Struthio camelus: one gene and its partners. The protein of the gene in region 3 purifies or fractionates together with the protein of the main gene of each other region. This does not show direct contact. Links are inferred from orthologs where the notes say so. Each region holds a gene or a part of one and is shown on either strand. Other genes may lie near its edges.

The links. Proteins that work in one complex are often made in the same cells at the same time.
Region 1: the proteins of ARMC8 (region 3) and RANBP10 purify together in Homo sapiens (affinity purification with mass spectrometry; 5 studies listed by BioGRID and IntAct, with this or other methods). This does not show direct contact. The link is inferred for Struthio camelus from reciprocal best matches to the Homo sapiens genes ARMC8 and RANBP10.
Region 2: the proteins of ARMC8 (region 3) and UBE2H purify together in Homo sapiens (affinity purification with mass spectrometry; 3 studies listed by BioGRID and IntAct, with this or other methods). This does not show direct contact. The link is inferred for Struthio camelus from reciprocal best matches to the Homo sapiens genes ARMC8 and UBE2H.

The regions. Positions count from the first base shown.
Region 1 is NC_090951.1:24,214,850-24,222,862, forward strand, and holds the start of RANBP10 (ran-binding protein 10), read right to left. Parts: upstream 3,410-8,013; 5' UTR 2,870-3,409; coding exon 2,665-2,869; intron 1,673-2,664; coding exon 1,561-1,672; intron 1-1,560. UniProt on the Homo sapiens protein: May act as an adapter protein to couple membrane receptors to intracellular signaling pathways.
Region 2 is NC_090942.1:1,892,919-1,900,801, forward strand, and holds the start of UBE2H (ubiquitin-conjugating enzyme E2 H), read right to left. Parts: upstream 3,410-7,883; 5' UTR 3,327-3,409; coding exon 3,274-3,326; intron 1-3,273. UniProt on the Homo sapiens protein: Accepts ubiquitin from the E1 complex and catalyzes its covalent attachment to other proteins. E2 ubiquitin conjugating enzyme that transfers ubiquitin to MAEA, a core component of the CTLH E3 ubiquitin-protein ligase complex.
Region 3 is NC_090950.1:5,470,651-5,478,485, forward strand, and holds the start of ARMC8 (armadillo repeat-containing protein 8), read right to left. Parts: upstream 3,713-7,835; 5' UTR 3,595-3,712; coding exon 3,502-3,594; intron 3,002-3,501; coding exon 2,925-3,001; intron 1-2,924. UniProt on the Homo sapiens protein: Component of the CTLH E3 ubiquitin-protein ligase complex that selectively accepts ubiquitin from UBE2H and mediates ubiquitination and subsequent proteasomal degradation of the transcription factor HBP1.

The DNA.
Region 1 (8,013 bases), on a different chromosome or scaffold from region 3:
CAAAACAGATAAGCAGTTAAACATAGAGTCAGTGAACTGAAAGAACAGAGATAGTCTTTTCCCTGCATTTGTAAAGCGTTCAGCCCAGCACTCACCTCTGGAGAGATAAAAATTTATGCCCAGTATTACAAAGACAATGCAACACAATTCAAGACCCTTAGCAAGTTCCTTCTTAAATAGGCCACTTCTCAATTAACAAGGACAGTAAAAAATTTCAATAATAAGAAATTACATCTGTAATTTGGCGTCTACTAGGAATCCTTGCTGACCTTTCCTCAGGCCCCTAAATTGCCCAGAGTTCAACCTGTTTTCTTAGAGGACTGGATTAACGAATTATACTTAGCACCCTCCTTTCTGCATGGTTGTATTTGTGATGTTCATCCTTTAGCAATGAAAAAAAAAAAAAAAACACACGCACACACAGCTGGTTGGTATCTTTTTTATGGTTAAAAATCATCTATACAGGCAGCAGAAGCCCAAATCTTGTTGGTAATACCCCTTTATTATTTTCTCAAGTTTCCAAACATCCTGATAGGATATAAAGGAACTTCACATTCAACCTGGTTGTTATATTTTGGAACAGAACACTCAATTCAGTCACTGCAAGTCTGGATGAGATCCAAAACTCACTGCCAGTACAGTGAGTGCTTCTTAATTGAGTAATTGAGCTGTTTCCATGCTGCTTCTAATGCTACTGACAGGACTTGCTGCTTTTGCAATTCCTCTAGTTGCTACTGGTCTAAATAATAAGGACTGATATGGCAAATGTAGTCTCAAAGTCAGCCTAAAATATTAAATACTGTCATAAAAACAATGATCAAGTTTGGAAAAACATTCTCATATCTAGCATTCTGTTACCAACACAGTCTCCCAAGCTTGCACAGTTGTTATCTGCCAAAATACTCTGTGTTGCAATCTACTCTTAGAAAATGACTCCAAGTCCAAATTCAAGTCCTGGACAAAAGATGACAGAAGTTTCAGCCTATATTTGGAAATACCTCATTTCTCTTTCTTTGCATACCTCCTTCACTCTCTCCTGTCTACGTAAATACTAAATCCAACATCTATCCACGTTTCAATAGAAATGTGCCCATGAAAATAGTTTGGGTTACAACATGTTCATCCCCCACTGCAGGAGAAAATTAAAAAGCAGCATTTCCTCCATCTGTCATGAATTTATCTGGGCTAGGTTCCTAGGTCATCTCTGTGACACCATAATACTTCCTTTTCAGGTCCAGGAATCTGAGTGACCAGACCTAGTTAGCAAGAAAAAAAAACTATTGTAACTCAAATTGCACTGGAGACCCAAAACTCTTAAATTGTTACAACTGTCCATATCAAACAGCAGATAAAAAAACTGCATAAGTGCCTCTGAATCCAGTGCATTCTACCACCTTCACATCTATTAATCAACCTCCCAATGATATACCTGCCTGTGATAACCAACAGCCATATGACCCGTAACCCTTCCAGAAAGCAGGTCTGAGCACAGCAGAGTTGCTAAATACACATCCCCAAACGTGATGTGTATTTCAAATCAAATTGGAATACCGTACTTACCCATCTCTACCTTTACTGACAATCTTCACCTCAAAGTAATAAATGCCGCAAGCTGCAGGTATGGGGTGTGTAGCCCTGACTGAGGCAGCATCCTTATGATTTTTACCATGACCTAGGAGAGAACAGAAATTTAAGTACTTAGAGGATTTGAAGTCTCTCACGTTTTGTTCTAAAACACCACTATCTGAATGCAGCAGAGATCCATTTCTGCATATATTCAAAAATTAAAAGCTGTTTTTTTCAGAGAAATAAAATATACAACTCTGCATTGCCACCATGTACAATTCCTACGCTATGAGCACTATGGTTTTTTCCTTTGTTTCCACTCTAAAGGTACTGAGGTACTACCTCACCCCCTTCCCACATATGTTGTTTAAAAATCAATGTATACAAACAGAAAACAAACAGATTATGCAAAATAGGAATTACATCTGTATTTACCAGCCAGGTAAGAAAAGGTATGAACAGTTTTCTGTGTGTGGGGGGGGGGGGGGGGAGTAGGGAGAACAGTCTCCAATAGCAATAAAGAAAAACATCAAAGTGATTTCCCAAGTCTAAGAAGTCTGAGAGCGTCTATTTTGTATAAACTCATGTAGCAAAAGCCACAGTTATGCAATGCGTCCACTTCATCCATCTCCTTGGCCAGATTTTAAGTAGCATAACAGAGTGAATAGAAGATCCAGCTACACAGATGGGCCCACACCCCGTTTAGTGACACTGTAAAGCATTATGTATGGCACAACACACTGTCGGGAAAAAAGCCCTCAGCTCAAGGGTGCATCAGCCTCCCTGCCCCAGAAAAGACCCGGTCCGGGGTTAAACCCAGCCACAGCACCACCGCTGACCTGCTCGCCCCACAGACGTGGCAGAAGCCCCGCGGCCCCTCCACCCTGTTCCGCTCCCCGGCCGCGGCACCTCTGCCCCTGGGGGAGGCCCGGGACTGCGGCAGTCAGAGTTGTGGCCACGGCCGCCCTGCCCGCCCACGGGAGGCCCGAACTGTTGGCCTGGCCTGCCGCCCCGCTGCGCCAGCAGAGTGGCCGGGGCCGAAGGCAGGGGCAGGGCCGCGCTCCAGGCCGAACCCGGCCCGCAGCTCCAGCCTGGCACCTTTGTAGTGGACGCGAAGGTTGCCCTGCGAGAGGCCGATGTAGTTGTACTTGTCCTTGGGGCTCCAGGATCGTGGCAGCGGCGTCTCCTCCTGATTGACGGCAGGGTAGAGGCGGCGGAGGCGCTGGCTCAGCTCCTGCTCCTCGGGCGAGCACGACAACCCCAAGTCCCCCCCCTGCAGGCTCCCCGCGCCCGCATCCGCCATCTTGGATTCGCTTTGTGTCACCGGGCGGGGAGCAAGGCCCGCTTCCGGCCGCTAGCCAATAGCGTGCGAGAGCGGCCACAATAGGGCCGCGCTGCCCGACGGGAACCGGAGTCCGTCCTCTCTCTCTCTTTCTCGCCGCCGCCGCCGCTCACTGCTAGCTGGGACTACAAGTCCCTAAAGAGCCCGCGCTCCAGGCCCCACTACACCTCTCCGCGCGCTGCAGCCTGGGAAGAGAGTCCCCTTTTGCCGGGCGCGCGTGAGCATGGTAGTCCTGAACCTATTCAGAGCAGGAAAAAAAGAAATCTCAGCAGTACAGAAACACAAATCCTCTGTTCATTAGCAGTGCAGGAGACCCATGGCGGAAGCAATCCTGACTGCACAGTGAAAGAGGCTGCACGGCCGGTGCTCTCTGAGTTAAGAGGCAGTGCCAGACTTTCGCTCCCAGCAGGCCCTGCAGTGGCGCGGTCCTAAGGGGTTGTCGCGCGCTTACTGGCGTCCTGCTGTCGCCTCCGTGTAGGGGTTGGTAGCAGCCGCTCCGCCAAGAGGGCGGTAGTGCTGTTACAGCGGCCTCGTGCTGGACCCGGTCTCTTCACAGAGCCCTCTTTCCGCCGGGCCCTGGCCCGGGCCGCTCCGGAACTGCCGCGGCTCGCGGGCGCACCAGTGCGTCAGGCGTTGCCGGGGCAGCTATGGCGGCGCGTGGGGGCGTCCTGAGGGGGGCCGGGCGCCTCTCCATGGCGACGCGTGTAAACAGCGCGGACAGTGCAAGCTATGGCGGGGCGCCGCACTCCGCCGGGCGGGTAAGGGCCGGGCCGGGCCGGGCAGGCAGGCAGGGCGGGCAGCGAGTGCCGGCGTCCGCCCTCTCCTCGGCGACAGCTGAGCAGAGCCCTTCTCCTTCCCCGAGGCCGTAGTACCTCCCTTCCCTGTAACGCGTGTAGGCGCAGAGTCTGGGGCAACCCGCGGGTGCTACAGAGACAGCTTCTGCAGCGCTCCGCCTGTGTAAAATGAGCATGAAGTTAGGCCATAGGCGGGATGAATTCACTTGTCTGCACTAACAGTTCAGCAAGTATAAGTAAACAGTGAAGAAGACTTGTAAAAATTGCTCTTAGGACTTCAGTATATAGCATTTTTCTAGTAAGAGCCACATAGACAATAAAAGAAGGAACTTCTAGAGTGATTGTTTTAGTAGTTACTTTGCAAATGTTACTGCTCATAGCTAAGTTTTTTTTTTTTTTTTTTTGGAAAATAATGCCTCTTTCTTACCACTACTTTATCTAAATATCTGCCTCTACTGTTAAAGCCTTATTCCAGTTAGTTTCAATATTTGAGAATAACGAGAAAGAGGTCTCCTTTGTTTTCTTTCTTCTTCTTCTTCTTTTTTTTTTTTTTTGAAAGATTATGCTGGTCTTCAAGCATGTGGTTCTTCGTTCTGCAGGCTACCCTTTGCCTACCTTCTGAGAGTGCCTGGGAGCAGCCAGAGCAGCACTGCTCCACAAGGGAGGGTGAGCCAGGTGCCCAAGGTGACTACAGCACAGGCAGGGCCCTCACTGACCAGGTGTGGTCCCACAGCACCCAAAGAAGGATGCTGACAGCAGGATCCTTCTGTAGTCCCAGATGAAGCAGAGTGATGAATCAGGTACAAGGTCCAGCCATGGGGTCCAGTCAAGAGCAGCAGGAGAGTGAGTAAGAGACTGGCTGGAGACAAGCTTATAGCATAGGTCCAACGTGTATCCAGCAGACAGGGCTGAAGACAGGCACAACTATAGCACAGTACAAGCAAGGGATTGAAGGCCCAGGCCTGAGCTTAAATGGAGCTTCTGGACCAACAGGCAGAGGGTGTGCGAGTGGTGGTCCCAGGGGATGCTGATCAGGGTAATTAAGGCCTATTGGTGCTTTGGATGCCCTAACAGCCGACTGGACAGCCTCAAAAGGAAAATTCTGGGCTATTCTTGGCCAAGTCAACTTTTCTCTGTATATCCTGGCAGAGGAAGGTGAAGGCTTATTTTATACCAACAGATAGATTTTTATCTTTGGATCTCAAACTCAGATAATGCAGGTAGTCCAAGAGCACACTATCACTGCCTTTTCTGTTTGAGGGCTCCGCTATGAACAGCAATATGAGACGGAAGTTTTATCCAATGAGCAAGTTTTTCTTGCTTTAATTTTACTAACTTTCACAATGCTGAAAAAGCCTTCAGTTCCAAATCCAGACTGTCTGTACCACAGTCCAAGTAGCAATCAATGCCACTCATGGGAGAAGTCCTAGACCCTTCTCTTTTCACTTTGTTAAGGTAGGCTTCCTAAAAATAATCATAGCACCTGAGAACAGGCATCTTTCCATATCCAAACATGAGCCATCCCATAGTCTGAGAACCCTTGCTTTTGTCAGGAAAGTGAAAACCTGTCACATTCCTGTCTGGTAGCACACTGCTTGCTTTCCTGACTGATGTGGCTGATTGGACTGCCATTGTCTTTAAGATCCCATCCTGCAAGAGAAAACGAAGCATATGCTCTCAGGTGGTTAGTGCACTCAGCTGTTCCAAAAGTGGATAGAAGTAGAGGGTGCTCGCTACTTTGACTATAAAACTGTTAGTGAGTTTAGCTGCAAATATAAAATAGTATCATGGCATTTCCAGATAGCTAGGAATAATATTTTTAATGTATGAAAAATGCACTTCGTATTCTAAAACATGAGTTATTATATGCTTAATGATCTGTTATATATTGGAGATTTTCAAAAGATCATGCAATTCTGTGAACTGTTGGCCACTTCATACTTGTCCTGCTCCTTGGCCCAGAGTATCCCTGGATATTGTTTACTAGTGGAATCTGATATTCTCAGTCATGGCTCCCAGTTACCCCTCCTTTCCAGTGCTTCCTTATGGCTCAGCATGTAGCATGAGCTTCCACTACTTCCTCATGCTTGTGGAGTTATGCCATGAAAGCACGTTGGGCCAGGTACACTACTCTCAGAAGGATGAAGTGTGTTCTCTATGTCTGTTTTGTTGTGTTTCATTATCACTGGGCATTGAAAAGATGAGCTTGGGTTAATTTTGTGCTGGGTTGATGACTTAAAGCAGCTTATTAGGAGGTCCTATGAGCACTGGCAGCAGCACAAGGCAAACTACAGGAGAATACATCTAGAAGGAAGAGACAGGATGGGAGAACAGGACAGCGGTAAGCTGATAGGATCAGCTCGCTGTGTCTCAGGGAATCTTACCCAAACGCTGTGGTTCCTTGGGCAACTGAGCTGACACGACTGCTTGGGGTTTCTCTCCCCTTTCCATTGCCAGTCACAGAATCCTTCCCCTCCTTCATCAACGTGTGATCCTTGAGTCCTTCTGAGAGCTGCCCCCACTGAAGGGTACACTTGCATGTTATATCTTGAGCCATTCTAACCTGGTAACCTCAGAAAATGATGCAGGTTAGTTTTCCTTTGGATTAGCAAAGTAAAACAGCTCAGAGCAGTGTTCAGCGTGTACTAGAGCTAGCACTACATAGGCCTTAGGAGCCTGCTGCGGTACAGAGAGGAGCAGAACTTCCCCCTTCAGCAGTGGTGGGCTGTTACACTGACTTACTGTGTTTCACAGAGCTACAACTTGGGGCTGGCATTTTATGAGCTAGGGTGGGTGATCCAACAGCTCACCAGATGTTTTCTCCCACCCTGACTCTGTGCTGGCACTTGTTGGACTCCTCTGAAAGCTAGTTCAGCTCGTCCCACGCTCACCTCCCTCCAAAAGCAGAGAGCTGGTGACTTAAATCTGCTTAAGCACTGACACCTAACTCCCACCCAAGCATGAAACCATACTGGCAGCTGAAGCCAATTCTTAGGATATCAAACAATGTCTGATCGTGCTGTGCCAATGTACAATAAAGTGACTCTACAAATTCATTGTGATCTCTGGATATTGCATTGTTTTACCATTTCATGCAGCCCTAATTTTCTCCTAAAATACACATGCAATCATATGTTCACTTCCTAAAAGCCCTATTCTGCTATACGTATCAGTTTCTAATCTAGGAAAGAGAGCTCTAGGTTGTATCTGTTGGCTGTACGTGTTCTGTGTTTTGCTAGTTCCTCTGGTTGTTGGTCCATCTATCCTGTGGCACTACTGCCACCCCAGAGGGCTAGCTTTGCAGGCGCTTTGGGTACCCAAAATCCCAATTCTTAACTCATGGGCCACAGTCAGCTTCTCCAGCACCATTTCTTATCTTAACTCTTTAGAAGACCAATTCATTCAGGCTTGCTCAGCTGCAGAGTGCAGCTTGGCAGTCGATTGAGCAAATGGTTACTTTTATTGGAACAGTGAGGACAGTACCAAACATTGCACCAGCTATCAAATAGCAAATACCGGAGTTCAGCTGTACTACGGGCCTTATCCAAATAATCAAAGTCACCCATCTTTTTATTCAATCAGTCCCTCTGTATATGTTACCCTGTTGGGTATTTTCATCTGTTCATAACTGGCTGTTTATTTTGGGTGTATCTTCCTCTGAGATTCTCAATCTTCATACATGGATAGAACCATGTATTTAGTTCATTCTGTATATTTTGAAATGTGTCTTTCTTGCCATTGCACAGGACCTCTCTTGCATCTTCCTCTGAGACTCCAGATTGCCAAACACATATTAACAGATTGAAATACACTCTTTCCAAGACACAGAAGACTCCGGTGAGTTGAAGTATTCCAATGAAACATCCAAACTTTAACTAACTTCATGAACATTAGTGCCTTGCTGAAAGCTCAGGGACCATCCCGAACTATTAGGAAGTTAAGCAAGTTCTAGTCGTTTTAATCTTTTTTTTGATGGAGAGAGACAAAAGCTGATTGTTGCTGCAAACTCTTGCATTTCATATCTAGATGTCACTTTTGTGGATTAATTATGGAATTTTTTAAGGGTGGAGGATAAAGGAGAGGCATATAAATGTTGCTGTTGGCTACAGCTTCTTGAGTGGACATACATGCCAAATATTATAGACAGAATTGGACCCATACAGCTAAAAAGCAGACCTGAAACTACATGCTATTTAGTTGCAGGCCAGGAGCTTCCTACAGAACATCTGCTCCCTAGTATGTATCAGTGTTAGTAAATAAAGTAAATTAGTACACTGAAAAAACTGTATCCAAATTATGAGAAATCAAATT
Region 2 (7,883 bases), on a different chromosome or scaffold from region 3:
CAGGGAGATTCAAATGAAGCTGAGCTCTATTTATAATTCCTTTCATGCCCTGAACAGGGTGACACTTCCCTTTTCTAACATCAGTCCTGATGCTTAAAAATAGAGCTCGGAGACTACGACCGAGCCAGGAGCACGTACCCACAAAAGGAGGGAAATAAATCAATGCAAAATAAACTCCAGTCCAAGGGGAAGCTGCAAACAGCTCGCCTTGAGGAGCCCACACCGCTCCCCAAGGCGGAACAATACACCCTGCCTGGAGATGACCGCAGGCGGCTCCGAAGGGCCCCGCGAGCCGGGGCTGGGGAGGCCGCGGGGGACCCCAGGGCACGTCCCCCCGCCGGTGTAAACACGCTGGGTCAGGCTCCCCATCAGCTGTCGCCTCGCTCCGCCCCGGCCCTGGTTTCCGGGTAGTAACAGAGCAGCCAATCCGCGGAGTTGCGAGCTCTGCCCGAGGCCTCTTGCCTGCAAACAGGGCTCGGAGGCCAGCGGCTGGCTCCGAACCGGGATCCCCGGCGTCCCCCCCGGGGGGCAGAGGTGCCCGGGCTCGTGGCAGTGCCCCCGCTGGGTGCGTGCGGCAGGCTGGACCGGGGACTGAGCGCAGCAACCCAGGAAATTTCAGAAATCGGGGAGAGGGATGGCAGCCGCCACCCCCCCCCCCAAAGGAGGGGGGCAACGCAGCGCGGACCCCGGCTGCAGGCCCTTCCCCAACATTCGCACAACGTTGGGAGCACGATCGGGGGGAGAGAGAGAGAGAGAGAGAGAGAGACAATGAGTGACTCAGAGTTTCAGCACATAATCACCCGGGCGATTATTAAACATCGGTTCAACACATTAACACACACGGCTCCCCCCCCCACCAGCCATCCAGGGAGAGAGCCCAAGCAACCTCTCCCCTTCCCTGCTCACAAAGACGCGTCCACAAAAGGACATGGACGTGTTAGGATTGAAAATAGGAATAATAAAAAAGACCCCACTCGGCTCCTAAACCTGTCAGAGCAGGAGAAGGCAGCAGCGTTATTCACTCACAACGTCACCCCCTCCCTATCCAAAAAGGTAGCCCTTGGCAGGCGATAAATCCACGCCATTATTCTAGACTGGAGACATGAAAAGAGGCTGAAAAGGGAAACTGTAACGAAAATGGCAGCAAAAGGGGGGGGGAAAAAAAAAAAAAACCCTACACAACAACAAAACCATCCAGCCCCAGGGAGGAGCAGCCTTCAAGTACATTCCTCCAGACTAGTCCTCTCTCATTTGGTCACCACCAAAACCATCCGTCGCTCCCACGGCTCGCGACAGACCCTTATTTCACATCAGCTCCCAGGCAGGAAGACTCCCAACGTACACGGAGCGAAGCGCCCGGGGAGCCTGGGCCTACAGAGCCGGACTCAGCCTGGGCAGGCTAGACAAGTCGGACGGACAAACAAAAAGGCTCGGGGAGGGAGGAGTGGAGGGAAGAGTCATCTGACATAGACAACTTCCTAAGTTTGTTGTCTGCAGGACACCGACCGCTCTAACCCTCGCCCTCGGACACCAGGGACGCCGCGCTGACAATAACGAGAGCTCTGCTTTTGGAAAACCCTTTGGTTTCTTTTGTCGGTGGCCGGGGGGTGGGGGGGGGGGGAGAGCAGAGCAGAAACCACCCAGCGTTGGGAGGAACGCCAAATATTTGGGGGCTTTCTACCTACCGCCACCGCTAGAGATATAGAACAAGTGAAGCCACTTCAAAAAAAATAAAAAGAAAGAAAAATCCCTGCTCTTTGTCTCCTAAAATGCTGGAATCGCTGGAGATGCCAGCTACTAAATGAACAAAAAAAAAAAAAAAGAGGGGGAGGGGAAAGGAGAGCAGCAGATCAGGTTGGGCCTCGGCCCCTCTTCAGCCCCGTCCTCTTTCGAGACTATGGCTAATGAAGATTTTTTTTTTCCCCCCTGCTAAACAGCTGGAATTCCCAACCCTCCTCCCAGCGCAATTAACCATCGATCGAAATTTGCATTCGGCAGAGTGTGACATGTGCGTAACTTTAAACCTCAGATAAAAATAGCTCGGATTCAACCATGATCGGTAGTCATTTCCTATTTGCTTAAAAAACAACACGAAAATATACCAAGAGCAGCTTTGTACAGAGAAACGCACACGAAACACCGACAGAAGTTTCCTTTGATAAGCCACCCTCACGCCACAAACACGAGCGGTATCGCTCTTCTTTCCCCCCCCCCCCTTTAAAAACACAAAATCCAAGCAAGTTTGTTTATCTCTCTGGGAACTCAATCAGATCTGTTTTACCGACCCCTCAACGCCACACGCAAAGTTAGAGCCACCGTCCCCCCCGAGAGGTTCAACACCTCCAGTAAACAGAGCCGAAAACATTTCGCTTGCTCTTGTCATTTCTACCCACCTCGACACACACCACCGCCTTGTAAGCAATAAATAAATAAATAAATACATAAAAACTATTAATTAAAAAAAAAAAACCAAAACCAATCCTATAGCCAAACCCCCACCGATATTTTCAATACCACCCACACTCCAGACAGAGAGAAAAGGATTTGCCACCCTGCAAAGGGCCAAGAAGAGTGAGGAGGAAAAAAAAACATATATAAATAAATAAATAAATATATATATATATATATAAAAACAGATCTATCAAGGAAGGGGTGGGGGGAAGCCTAGCCCAACCTGGAGCGTTACGTAAACGGGACCGCTCGCAAAACCGGCCGGGGGTCCGGGGCCGCACTGAGCCCGTCTCCCACCCCGCCGCCACGGGCAATCCCAGCAGCACCCTCCAGCCCCCAAAATATTAAAATCCCTAAGCCCAGCACCAGAAGCTTCGTGAACCGCAGGCTGAAACCGAGGAGTAAATAAAGATAAACACCACAAAAGCCTTTCTCTGGGCTGTGGCCGCGGGGGCAGCTTCCCCCCCCCCCTCAAACCCCAAGCAGCTGGGCCGCAGGCCGGGGCAGGAAAGGGGGTGCCAGCCACCAGGCTGCGGCCCTCGCTGGGTTTTTTTTCGGGGGGGGGGGAACCACGGGCTGTCAAACCGGGGAGCCCCCAAACAAGGCTTAGGATGGGGGGGGGGAGGCTTTCCCCACAGTGTGGGGGGGCCTCGGGGGGGGGGGCAGGTCTGACCCCAGGCAGGCAGGGAGGGAGCCCCGGGGAGGGGGCCTGGCCCTGCCGTTGCCCGGGGGGGGGGGGGGAGGGCCGGTGCTGCCCCCCCCCACCCCTCCCCGGTGCAGGCCCGCGGGGCTGTCGGCGGAGGGGTGGTGCGGGAAGGATACAGCTTGACCACGTCGGTGTCCATCCGCCTCTTGCCCGGGCTGGGGGAGGACATGGTGGCCGCGGCCGCCCCCGGTGCTCCGGGCGGGCTGTCAGCGCCGCCGCCGCCGCCGCCCGGGGCCGCCCGGCGCGGAGGGGAGCGGGGGGGGGGGGGCGCCGGGCTCCGAGCCGCTGGGACCCCCCCTCTGCCGCCGCCGCCGCTGCTACTGCTGCTGCTGCTCCTGTCGCCGCCGCCCTCCTGTGGCGGGGCCGCCGCCGCCGCCGCCGCCGCCGCCGCCGCCGCCGCCTCGCGCTCCCGCAGCCGCCGGCCCCGCTCCGCTCCGCTCGCCTCTGCCGGAGCCTCTCTCTGGACTCCTGACGTCACCCACAGTGACCTCACCGCCTCGCCCCGCTGCCATTGGCCGCGCCGCCGCCGTGACGGCAGCGCGCCGGCCCCGCCCGCTCGCCGCGCTCCGCCCCACCGCCTGCCGGGAGTTGTAGTGCGGCAGGGCGGGCTGCCGAAGGCGGAAAGCGAAGGGCGAGGCGGCGGGTTCGAGACCCCGGCGGGGCGACTTGGTTCCCCCCCCCCCCCCCCTCCACCCCCCGCAGCCGCCGCCGCCCCGCGGTGACACCGCCAGCGTAACCTCAGTGCAAAGCACCGCGTCGTCCTTCCCGCTCGCCCACAAGCTGGCCGCACGGCTTTCCCGCTCTCCGGCCACCTTTGGGGCCTGCTGCTGCTGCCACCATCCTTAAAACGCGGGTTGGCCGAACGGCCCCGTCCCTCGGCAGCTCCGGCCGGGTCGCCTCCCGGCAGCAGGGCGACGAGATCCCGCCGTGCCCCCCCCCCCCGCCTCGTGCCCCCGTTTAAATCATTCGCCTTTCAGCTCGTTCGCTCGCGAGGCCCTTTCTGTAGGGCTTTCGCCCGGGCGGCTTCCCAAACGGGCTTTGCGCCCGGGTCCGTAGCACGCTAACGAGGCCTTTCCACTAATGAGGGGAGACGAGGCTTCCAGAGAAGCAGAGCCTCGACGCCGGCGCGCCGCCTCCCGCCGGGGAGCCGCCGCCGGCCTCGGCCCTGTGGCGGGGCCCCGGGGGAGCCATTTTGAGCGTGGCCGGGTGTAAAGCCGGGGAGAGTCGCGCTCGGCGCCCGCGGGGCGGCGGGGACGGTGGTGCCGGCCGTCTCGTCCCGTCCCCTCCTGCCTCAGCCGGCATCACCGAGCTGGCGCCTGGCTCCGGCTCGTCACCTGGGGCGAGGGGGTTTGGGAGGGTCCCCCGTGCCCTGGGTGGCCCCGGCAGGGAAAATGGCTGCCAGGCCGGGTGTGGGGAGCTGTGGGGATTGGGGGAGCCATGGGGAGCTGTGGGGATTGGGGGAGAGCCATGGGGAGCTGTGGAGATTGAGGGAGAGTTGTGGGGAGCTGTGGGGATTGGGGGAGCCATGGGGAGCTGTGGGGATTGGGGGAGCTATGGGGAGCTGTGGGGATTGGGGGAGAGCCATGGGGAGCTGTGGGGAGCTATGGGGAGCTGTGAGGATTGGGGGAGCTGCGAGGATTGGGGGAGCTGCAGGGAGCTGTGGGGATTGGGGAGAGCCATGGGGAGCCATGGGGATTGGGGGAGCCATGGGGAGCTGTGGAGATTGAGGGAGAGTTGTGCGAAGCTGTGGGGATTGGGGGAGCCATGGGGAGCTGTGGGGAACTGTGAGGATTGGGGGAGCTGTGGGGAGCTGTGGGGATTGGGGGAGAGCTGTGGGGAGCCATGAGGATTGGAGGAGCTATGGGGAGCTGTGGGGATTGGGGGAGCCATGGGGAGCTGTGGGGATTGGGGGAGACCTGTGGGGAGCCATGAGGACTGGGGAGCTATGGGGAGCTGTGGGGATTGGGGAGAGCCATGGGGAGCCATGGGGATTGGGGGAGCCATGGGGAGCTGTGGGGATTGAGGGAAAGCCATGCGGAGCCATGGGGATTGGGGGAGCTATGGGGAGCTGTGGGGAGCTGTGGAGACTGGGGGAGAGTTGTGGGGAGCTGTGGGGAGCTTTGAGGATTGGGGAGCTATGGGGAGCTGTGGGGATTGGGGGAGCCATGGGGAGCCATGGGGAGCTGTGAGGGTTGGGGGAGAGCTGTGGGGAGCCATGGGGATTGGGGGAGACCTGTGGGGAGCTGTGGGGATTGGGGGAAAGCTGTGGGGAGCTGTGGGGATTGGAGGAGCTATGGGGAGCTGTGAGGATTGGGGGAGCTGTGGGGAGCTGTGAGGATTGGGGGAGACCTGTGGGGAGCTGTGGGGATTGGGGGAGCCATGGGGAGCTGTGAGGATTGGGGGAGAGCTGTGGGGAGCCATGGGGATTGGGGGAGCCATGGGGACTGTGAGGAGCCACGAGGATAGGGGGAGCCATGGGGAGCTGTGGGGAGCCATAGGGATTGGGGGAGCTGTGGAGAGTTGAGAGGAGCCATGAAGATTGGGGGAGCCATGGGGAGCTGTAGGGATTGGGGGAGCTGTGGGGAGCTGTGGGGATTAGGGGAGCCATGGGGAGCTATGGGAAGCTGTGGGGATTGGGGGAGCTGGAGGAGCCACGGTGACGGGTGGGAGCTGTGGGGAGGGGGGGGGAATCCATGGGGAATTGTAGGAGGCAAGGGGAGTCATGGGGAGCAGAGGGAGATAGGGCAGACAGTTGGGGAAGGGGCTCCTCCATGCCCTGCCCTCTGGGGCAAGGTGGAGACACCCTGTGCAGGTGGGACACCCAGAGCCAGGGTGAGGACACCACGGACAGGTGGGACACCCAGAGCTAGGTTGAGGGTACCCTGGGCAGGTGGGACACCCAGAGCTAGGATGAGGGCACCCTGGCCAGGTGGGACACCCAGGGCAAGGTGGAGACAGCCAGAGCCAGGGTAAGGGCACCCAGGGCAGGGGTGCACGTGTGAGAGAGGGAGACCAGGAATGCCGGCCCGTGCGTTTGTGTGTGGGCACGTAGCATCTTCGTGCTGGGCCCCTCTCGCAGCGGGGTGCCCTGGGGCCCTGAGCGTCTCGTGGCTGTATCTTGTCCCGTGGCCCCATGTGATCCCCCAGGGCTAAGCCTGCTCTACCTCCGTTCCCGACAACTCCTGGGCCACGGCAACCAGGGGGTGAAGGCACTCCTCGTTAGGCCGTGTCCCATGGGTGTCGTGGGGCTGCGGCAGAGGTGATGCCATGCCCAGGCACCCCAGGCACCGGCCCCTTCCTTGGTGCTGCTGCCTGCTTTTCCCCTGCACCGTTGCCAACGGTGCCATGACCAGCCTCCGACTGATTACGACATCCATGTTTTTCAGTGCTGGGCACCCAAATGGCCTGGCCCTGCCCAGCCTGCAGGCTAATGTCACACCGCCTTCTGAAGTCAAAGCGGCAGAGGAGCATGATGGAGTGCCCTGCATCTGGAGAGGAAGGGCCACAGCAGCATTTCCCGGGGAGCGGTGCAATTGGGTCTTTCTCACAAAAGGAAGACAAACTACCCTGATGCAAACCACCCTCTCGCCCCATCAGGCCTGCACCAGAGCCTCGCTCGCCCCAGCACCCAGCCAGGACACGACGCAGCGAGGGATGGCGGTAGTGACTCCCTGCTGCAGGGAACAGAGGCTCCCATCTGCCAACATGACCTGTCATCAAGAGAGGTTTGCCGCTTGCTGGGGGCTCGGATCCGGGATGTTACAGAGAGGCTGACGAGGCTTGTCCAACTCTTGGGACAATTACCCCTGCTGCTCTTCCAGGTGGCACCAACGATACTGCCAAAGGCAGCTTGGGACGTATCGAACATGACTACAGAGCACTGGGGGCAGTGGTCAGCGGTATGGGGCCTGGGTGTTTTTCTCCTCAATCCTGCCAGTGAGGGAAAGAGTGTGAGGAGGAGTGGACTGATGCTGCAAGTCCACAGTTGGCTGCACAGCTGGCCCAACCAGGTTTCGGCTTCTGGGACCACGGGACCCTGTTTGAAGACAGCTGTCTACTTGGGAGAGATGGGATCCCCCTCACCAAGCAGGGCAAAAGCATCTTTGCCAACAGGCTGGGCGACCTGGTAAGGAGGGCTTTAAACAAGGAATTACCAGGGAGGGAGAGAGTTGCAGGGAACGCACAAGCAACAAAACAGGGCTTAAGTGGGGATGCACCAAGTATTTGCATGTAGGCAAGGAAGTGCCCACAAGACAACACTACGGGGAAACCTCTCACACCCTTTCTGGGAAATCGGCACGCTTGGGTGCCTCTCTGAAGTGCTGGTACACTAATGCATGCAGCATGGAGAATAAACAGGAGGAACTAGAGATCTGCGTGCAGCTGCAGGGCGATGATCTCATTGGCATCACAGAGACGGGGTGGGATAATAGCTCCCATGACTGCAATGCTGCAATGGATGGGCACAGGCTCTTTAGGAAGGACAGGCTGGGATGGCGAGGAGGGGGAGTCATCCTTTATATGAGAGAGCAGCAGAAATGCACGGAGCTCTGCCTGGGGGTGGACGATGGGGCTGACTAAGAGCTTACCGGTAAGGATTAATGGGCAGAACAATCACGGGTGACGTTGTTGTGGGTGTTTGCTGTAGGCCACCTGATTAGGAAGAAGTAGATGAGGCCTTCTACAGACAGCTAGAAGTAGCCTCATGTTTGCAGACCCTGGTCAT
Region 3 (7,835 bases):
ATACCAGCCAAAAAGGAAATGCTTTCTCAGTTTTCCTATAAGGAGGAAAAGGAAAAAGCTCCTCAGCAGGTAAGACTTCATTGTCTGGCAAAAGAAAAAGAGAAGGAAAGGAAATAAGAGATTTGATAATTCAGATCCTTTCAGCATATGTAACCCTGAGCTTTCTCAAGTTACAAAATGTCAACTGCATTGACATGATTTTCAAGTTCAAGAAATACTTAGCTCCATTTTACCTTTATCAAGCCTAATTCAGAAGTTAGATTTCATTAAAATGTACAAGAGTGCAATAAAAGAAAAGGCCCAAACTCAAGTTATTCTTCCAGGTTTCCTTAATACCAGGTGAAGAACAGAACTACTGCACCTGAAGACAATCTGCAGAAACAAACCCTCTCAAGACAGCCTATTTCCTGGTCCTCGATATTCATACAGTTCCATCAATCAAAATAAAAATCTAGGTCATCAGTATTTTCAGCCAAGATGCAGGAAAAACAGCACATCTTAGGAACCAAAGATTTTCAGTGAATTATGCAGAACACTTGGCAAAGCTTCTGACAGACACTTCTGATGGGACTTTAATCCCCTTCTCCCCACCTCCCCCTAGCATCAGTTCATTCCAGGTTGAATACCTTTTTCAGATACCCTGAAGTCAAAGGAAGAAGGGCAAAGTAGTTCTTGTCTGCCTGAGGAGAATCTTGGACTGACAGAATTTGTTAGAGACTATATACACTATTCTGAACTGGACTGTATCACATCCATCCACCCATATTCAGGAAAAAACAAATCCATCACGCAGGATTTGCTTAGTGTCAAGAAAGATAGATTCTCAGAATTAGGATCTTAGCCAGAGTGTCACGGATCGGTCCTGTAACTTTTTCCTCCTTTTCCCCTGTACCCTTCAGGGGCACTAATCCTGTCAGATCTGTAACTTTCAAAGGTCTGAGTCTAAAGGGAAGGCATCTTCTGTGCAACTCCTTCAGCAGTTTCAAAGTAGCAGCATCTGTTACTCCAACAACTAGAATAACTCGGATCCATTCTTAAAAGACACCTCCTTCTTCAAATCTGTTCTTACTCACACCCCTTATAATCTCTCCAAACCTCAGAGCATTTGTTTGAGAAGAAATGTCTCCTCCACCAAGCTCAGCCTCAAAGATACTGCCACATGGTCTTCATGGTAGCAAAATTCAAACGGTAGCAAGAGCAGAATCCAAAAGAAGTGGATCCAAAGTGGATCCGTAAAGGACATGTCCAAGTACCACAGGAAAAGGATGATCTGAAAAAGCTACATGATAAAACGACCAAAATAGTGAGCTACGAAAAATTCATGAGGCAAAGCAGCAAAACATCTCTTATATTGGAAGCCAGGAACCAAGCTGGCAAACAAAAAAGAAAGTTATTGTAAAATATATTGGTATTCTGTTGTCTTTAAATGGATAGCTTATGATCTCTAACTGCAGAGACATATTCTGCAGTTACATAGTTGCCCCTTATCAATTTATCTGTTCTTAGACCACATTAAAACTGAAAGGCAGCTCAGCATAAAATCAATTGACATTGCAGATGCTAGCTGAGACAAAGAGACCGCTTAAGATTTTTGTTTCTGGGAAAACTCTTTGCTTAAACTTCAGAAGATGCGAATAACAACTCAAAAGATAGGGAAGGGATTCCCAAGGGTTGGGGTTCCACAGTTCTTTGAAAAGAAAGGACCGCAGGGAGGGAGCACCACCCAGCGCTCAGAGCATCTGCCGAGGAGAAAAGAGGGGGCTCAGTCAGCCCACTTGCACACAGGATGAGACACATCCTTGCCCCTGGGAACATCCAACTCACTTTTGTGAGCAGTGGACTAAGAAGGCCAAGAAGCAGAAACAAAGCCAAACTTTTCCACAGGGAACAGTTAAGAACCTGTAAATATTTACACTGGAGGACCAGAAGGTTTTATACAGGTAACAAAAGGATATTTCAACAACAACAACAAAAAAATCCAAGATAGTTTTATACAGGCTGGGTTTTTCAGGCATTTCAAAGGGATACTTGACTCTGATATGTTCCCTACTCCCTCCCTGGGACGCTTTCCAGAGTGACTTTGCTCATCTGCTATTGGAAACACCTCAGACTGTCCATGAGCAATGAAACCCAACATTCTTGGCTTTTTCATCCACTTAGGGCTTCAATGTCTTCTAGCACTTTGCTAGTTAGCCACTGCTAGCAAGTTACACGTAAGCCTGAGAAAGCCTGGTTTCACCACTAAAAGTCAGTCCTAGGCAAGGACTTGTGTGCCACATCCCCGTGTGAATATAACGGAAAGCTTATAGCTCAAGGACAGTAAGGAAACAACTAGATCTTTGCACCAATTTTACTATGCGCTCACTAGCGAGAGTCTTCTACTGAATTTTTCAGCCATTACCTCCTGTCACTGGTATGCAACAGACATACTGAAACATAAGTTATATCTAAATTAATTTCTATAGAAGCATTTTCTTTCAGCTCTCAATTCCCTTTGATGAGACAGAAGTCATATCCAAAAAAATCAACACTCCAGGCATGATGGCAGGGGAAACAGCTGAAGAGGCAAGTATGCTGACTTGGCAGTGAAATAAGAGAAAAAATTCTCATCAGACCTGGAAACGGAACAAAAGGAAAAGGCCAGAAGGAAGAAAAGTATCAAAAATAAATTTGAATGCTCACAGAATGTTTTACCTCATTTCTAGCAACTGGGAGGCTGGGGTACTAACCCTATGCACCACAAAGTGATAGTATGCTAAAACAACATTCTCATGTTTGCAGGAAAATTCACATAGCGAGTTTTCCAACAAGATTTATCTAAAAAGATGGGAAGAATCTCTTTCCACTGACATATCACACTACTAGAATTCAAGCAAACTTAGCCTAGGTACAACAACAGTTTGAATTTGTTTCATATGACTTACATGACACCTTGCAGGACTTTCTGGGGATCGAGGTCAAATAATCTGTCAACATAGTGGCGGCTACTGGCCGTTACTTCCTGCAGAGAAATAAATATATATATATATATATTTTTTAATAATTTACATCAACTCATATAATGGCAGACAAAAAGGAATGACTAAAAAAGCAGCAAGTCTACAAAACCTACCAGGCAAGATATCAGCAAAAACACAGAATCATATTTACGTGCAGTATGTTACTGCTGGGCAACACCCACACAAGGAATTAACCTTGTGTTTAAATGTGATTTAAAGAATAAGATTTACCTAAATGTGGATATCCATGTTATGAGTCAAAGCAAGTTAATGGAGCACCTCCACGTATTTAAATATTTATGAATAGGTCATGCAAGAAGGGGTCTACTTGAGGCATCAGTCCTGTCTTCACTTCAATTTTATTGTGTGTAATTACTACATAAGCAGAAAATCCCTTACAGAAAAAGTTCTTAAGAACAGTTAACGTTGCTCAAGAAGCATACCCACAAGCGAACTCTCAAAAATAAGGAAGCTTGTATTGAGACATTTTTCTGAAACTTACCTTATTGGAAATATTTACATGTTTCAGAGACTCTGTCCTTCTATAAACTGGTCCCCACAATTCCAACACGGACAGCAGCACAACACCCTCCATAACATTCCCCTAGCTACTCTATAACACAAAGTGAACTAACTCTCCTCTCGGCAACAGGACCGTGCTTGCAAGTTAAACGCTTATGCACCAGTGATCTGTCATTCTCTCTGAGAAGCTCCAAAGTTGGAGAAGGAAAGCATTCCAGAAGAGAAGGGTGGGAAAAGGCAAGGGAATTTTCCCTCCAGGTTCTCATGAACACGTGCCAGAGCGCCTCTCCGCTGTCTCAGTTCTTTTTGCCTGCTCAACCTTCTACGAGCCTTCTCCTGTTTTCCCCTTACGAGTTTTCCTTGAAAGGAGCTATAAGGAAGCTGTAAAGTCCTCCTCGCTTTCGGGAGCATCTACACTTGGACTAAGCCTGCTCCTGCCTCCCCCTCCAGATGCTGGAGGTGCCAGCAGCTTCTTGCCTGTAGTCCCACACAAGTCTGAGAGAAAAAGAATCATCTAGAGACTGCAGGCGTCTTGCCTCCAAGAGTACTACTACGTTCTGCCAAATAAATTTGCTTTCAGTTCAGCTTTCACCACGTAACCAAGGACAGCGTTTTTGAGAACAGCAGCGGGCTTTCACCTGCCAGGTCTATATGTTTATACGCAAAAAAAATATTTTGGACTTCAGACCTCCTGCTTCTAACACATCCCGGCTTTCACCCTACTGACTATTAGATCTGTAGCCTGGTGAAGAAGGTCGGTCATATGCAGCCAAACAAGTTTTTCCAAAAAAAAAAAAAAAAGTATCGGGGAAAAAAGAAATTTATTGACGTTATCATAGTCTCAGGGTCCTCTTAGCTAGCAGCAAACCGCAGCCAGAGAAGCCCTTAAGCTCTCCGAGGAGCAGCCACGCTGCAGCCCTGGGCGCTGTGCCTCCCCGCGGCGCCGGCGGCCGTGGGAGGCGGGCACCGGGCACCGGCGCCCTCCCCGCAGCGGGGGCCGCGGCAGCGCGGCCAGGAGGGCACACGACCGGCGTTTCGGCCCCGGACAGCCCCCCGCCCCCCCACACCGCCGCCGTTCCCCCACGCGGCCGCTCGGCGCTGCGGCTCCGCTCGCCGGCCGCGAGTTGCCGCGGGCCCGGGAGGTTCACGGCGGGGCGCCTGCAGACGCCGAGCCGCCCCCCCCCCCACCCAAAAGGGAGGTGAAAACCCCTTCGTTAAAGGTTAAATCCGGGCGCGTTTCACTGTCAGACGAGCCGAACTCTCCAGGAAGCGGCCGGGGGCCGCCCCGGCAGGGCGGCACGGCAGCGGCCCGGGGGAAAGCCGCCCGCCCGGCCCGCGGCCCCCCCCTTCACCCCGCACACAAAGCGGGGCCGCCGCGAAGGCCAAGGTCAGGCCGGGCCCGGGGGCGGGGGCGGGGCGGGCCGCGCGGCACTCACCGAGAGGACGCTCATGCGGAGCGGCGCCTCCAGCACGCACGCCATCTTGGCGGACGCAGCAACTCCGGCGGCGGCGCCCTCAAGCCCGCGCGCGCGCCGCCGCTGCCGCCGCCACCACCGCCGCCGCCGGCGGGCACGGCCACATCGCGGAGCGCGGCGCCGCCGGGGCGGGGGGGGCGGGGGGGGGGGGAGAAGAGGGGAGGGGCGGGGCGCCGCGGACCTCGCGCCCAGCGAATCGGCCGACGCCGAAACCCCGCTACCTTCCGCGAGCCCGCGCCGCCGCGCCTGCGCCGCCAGCGCGCCACGGCAAGCCGCAGGGCGGGCACCTTCCCCCCGCCACACCTCCGCCCGCGCATGCGCCCGCCGCCGCCACCACAGCCGCCTCTCCCGCGCCGGCCCGTGAGTCAGGCGGGCGGAGCGCGCAGGCGCGGCGCGCCGTTACGGGGGCCCAAAGGAGGGGGAGAGGGGAGGGGCGGGCCCCGCGCAGCACGATAACGCCGGGCGAGAGGCGCTGCTGCAGCAGCTCGCCGGGGGCCTCGGTCCCGCAGCCGCTCAGCGCCAGGGCAAAGCTTACCTACCCGCCGAGCCGCTCGGGAAGGCACCTGGGCGGCAACGGGGGCCCTGCCGCTGCTCCTCCTCTCGCTGGGGGAGGCGGCGGCGGCTGAGCTCTTAGCTGAGGCAGCCCCCGCTGCCGTCTTCCTCATCCGCGGGGCAGGAACGGCAGCGGGACTTTCGAGGGAGCCCCTCGGTCTCCTCCTGCGCGGCCCTAAGGCCCCGAGGGCAACGCCAGCACTCGGCAGCCTGACTAAACCCCCGTCCTCGCTCCACGAGGGCCCAGGTAATCCGGTGAGGTGCCTTCCTGACTGCCGCCGCTCTGCAACAAGCAACGAGGCTTCGCTTTATCTGCCTCTGCTCTGACTGGCCTGGGGGAAAGTCATGGCTTCTTCTGACATAATCTTGTTGCGGTTTTGGGGGGGGGGGGGGGAGTTGTAGTGAAAACCTCAAGAAAAAGCAGGAATTTATCCAGTTTGGCTGTAGCTTTCCGTAAGAGCTGATATTTTGGTATTAGTCCTCCTGTATTTCGTTCCTTGAGATGTGGGGACGTCATTACTCCTGAAGACAGCACTGAATGGGGGCGGGAAGGTAAAACCACCCCAGGTCAGGGTTCACTTAAGTCTTCATTTTTGCTATTGTAAGGTAACTGTTAAACCCAAGTTTGCCAGCTGTTAGCAGAGATTCTGCAGAGGATAACAGGGGAGCACAATAAACGTTTTAAGATGCTTTCAGAAGTTAACTTTAATAGCAGCTGATGTTTGCTTTAACTTGAAAAATATTCCACTTCTCAAGAAAAAGTAGTTATACCCCTTTTCTTAGTTTGTTGCTCTTTGCGTAGATTTAATATAACATGCTCTGAACAAAATACTTGTGTTAGCCACTTTTCTCAAGCACTTTATAGATAACAGTAAAAACGTTTTCAAACTAAAGGCAAGTCTCATATACTGAACAATGTGATTATGGCCTGTACCACAGTCTCATGGAGATGAGCATTTTCCAGATATTTCTCACTAAAATCAAAGAGAGTCAAAAAATTGCAAAGACTTTTAAAACTTTTTAAAGAGGGATGAAGACTCTGGATCTTAAGAGCCAATTGAACTGATTATCAGCCTTTCCTACTCTTCTACATACTTGTTGGAATTTATGGTCGTCTTTACTGGAGAGGCTTCAAATTCAGTACTGCAATTGAGTTCTACATGCAGCAGAGAACCCTGCTGACAGGGAAAATCCATAGTGGATGAGAGCACAGTTAGAGATGGGTACTTTAAATTGCAAAGAGGATGCAACTGAAAGAAAGAGCATAGCAACTCTATAAAGATCAGACACAGGTTGTACTCCAACATTTTTTATGGTAAGTACATTTACCATCTGCACCCTGCTCAGTGGGTGCTGAAAAACTTCATTAAAAGAAAAATAAAATCTTTGAAGATTTAAAAACCAGCATTCTACCTTGGCAAAACCTCCTGCTTTCTAGAGAGCCAAAATACATTTATCAGAAAGGAAAAGACATTTACTTTAAAAATCATATGGAATCAGACTAAAAGTCTATCAAATATAACCAACATCTTCCACTCCAGTTCATGTAGAATTAGACAGTTGAATATCAGGCTCAGATTTTTTCAGAGGCTATTCAGGCTCCTTCCAGAATTTACGCTTAAAATTTCCTCTGCCCCCTCAGAAAGATGAAATAAAGTATTTCCATGATAGTCCCAGATCACGCGAAAACATAGGTATAGTTAAGATCTTAGGAACAGACCCAGGACCCTTAAAGATATCCCTCAGCTATCTTCAGTAACCTAGCTGACAGTTCACAGCTATTTGGGATAAGCTGAAGGTTATACTAAGTTTCCACTTTTTTTTTTTTTTTTTTTAAATCACATCTTACAACTCTTCAGTGAGTGTTCTGACAGATGAGCAGGTATAGAGAGATACAAGAGCAGTATTAACAAAGCCCAGCTAATCATTTAATACACAAGATAGTGTTCCCTGGAAAAAAAAAACAAACAAAAAACCCAGGATGCTAAAGCTGGTAATCAAGACTGTGGAGAACTTTAATTTTGGCATTTCCTAGCTCTTGAATACTTGTATGCATTTAGGTTTCATAGTTAAGTGCTGACAGGAGAGAAACAGAGGCTAGATGAATGCCAGAATCTGAAACTGATTCTGACCTGGACCTATGATCTAATAGGTTCTATTAGTTTCCCTGCTACAGCTCATTCTCACTAATCCGTGACAGTTGTGGCTCCTTGTCCAAATCCCTGTTCCAATAAAGATGCTATCTTCTCCACAGTGCCTAGGCCTTAGAGGGGTAAGAGCACATGGG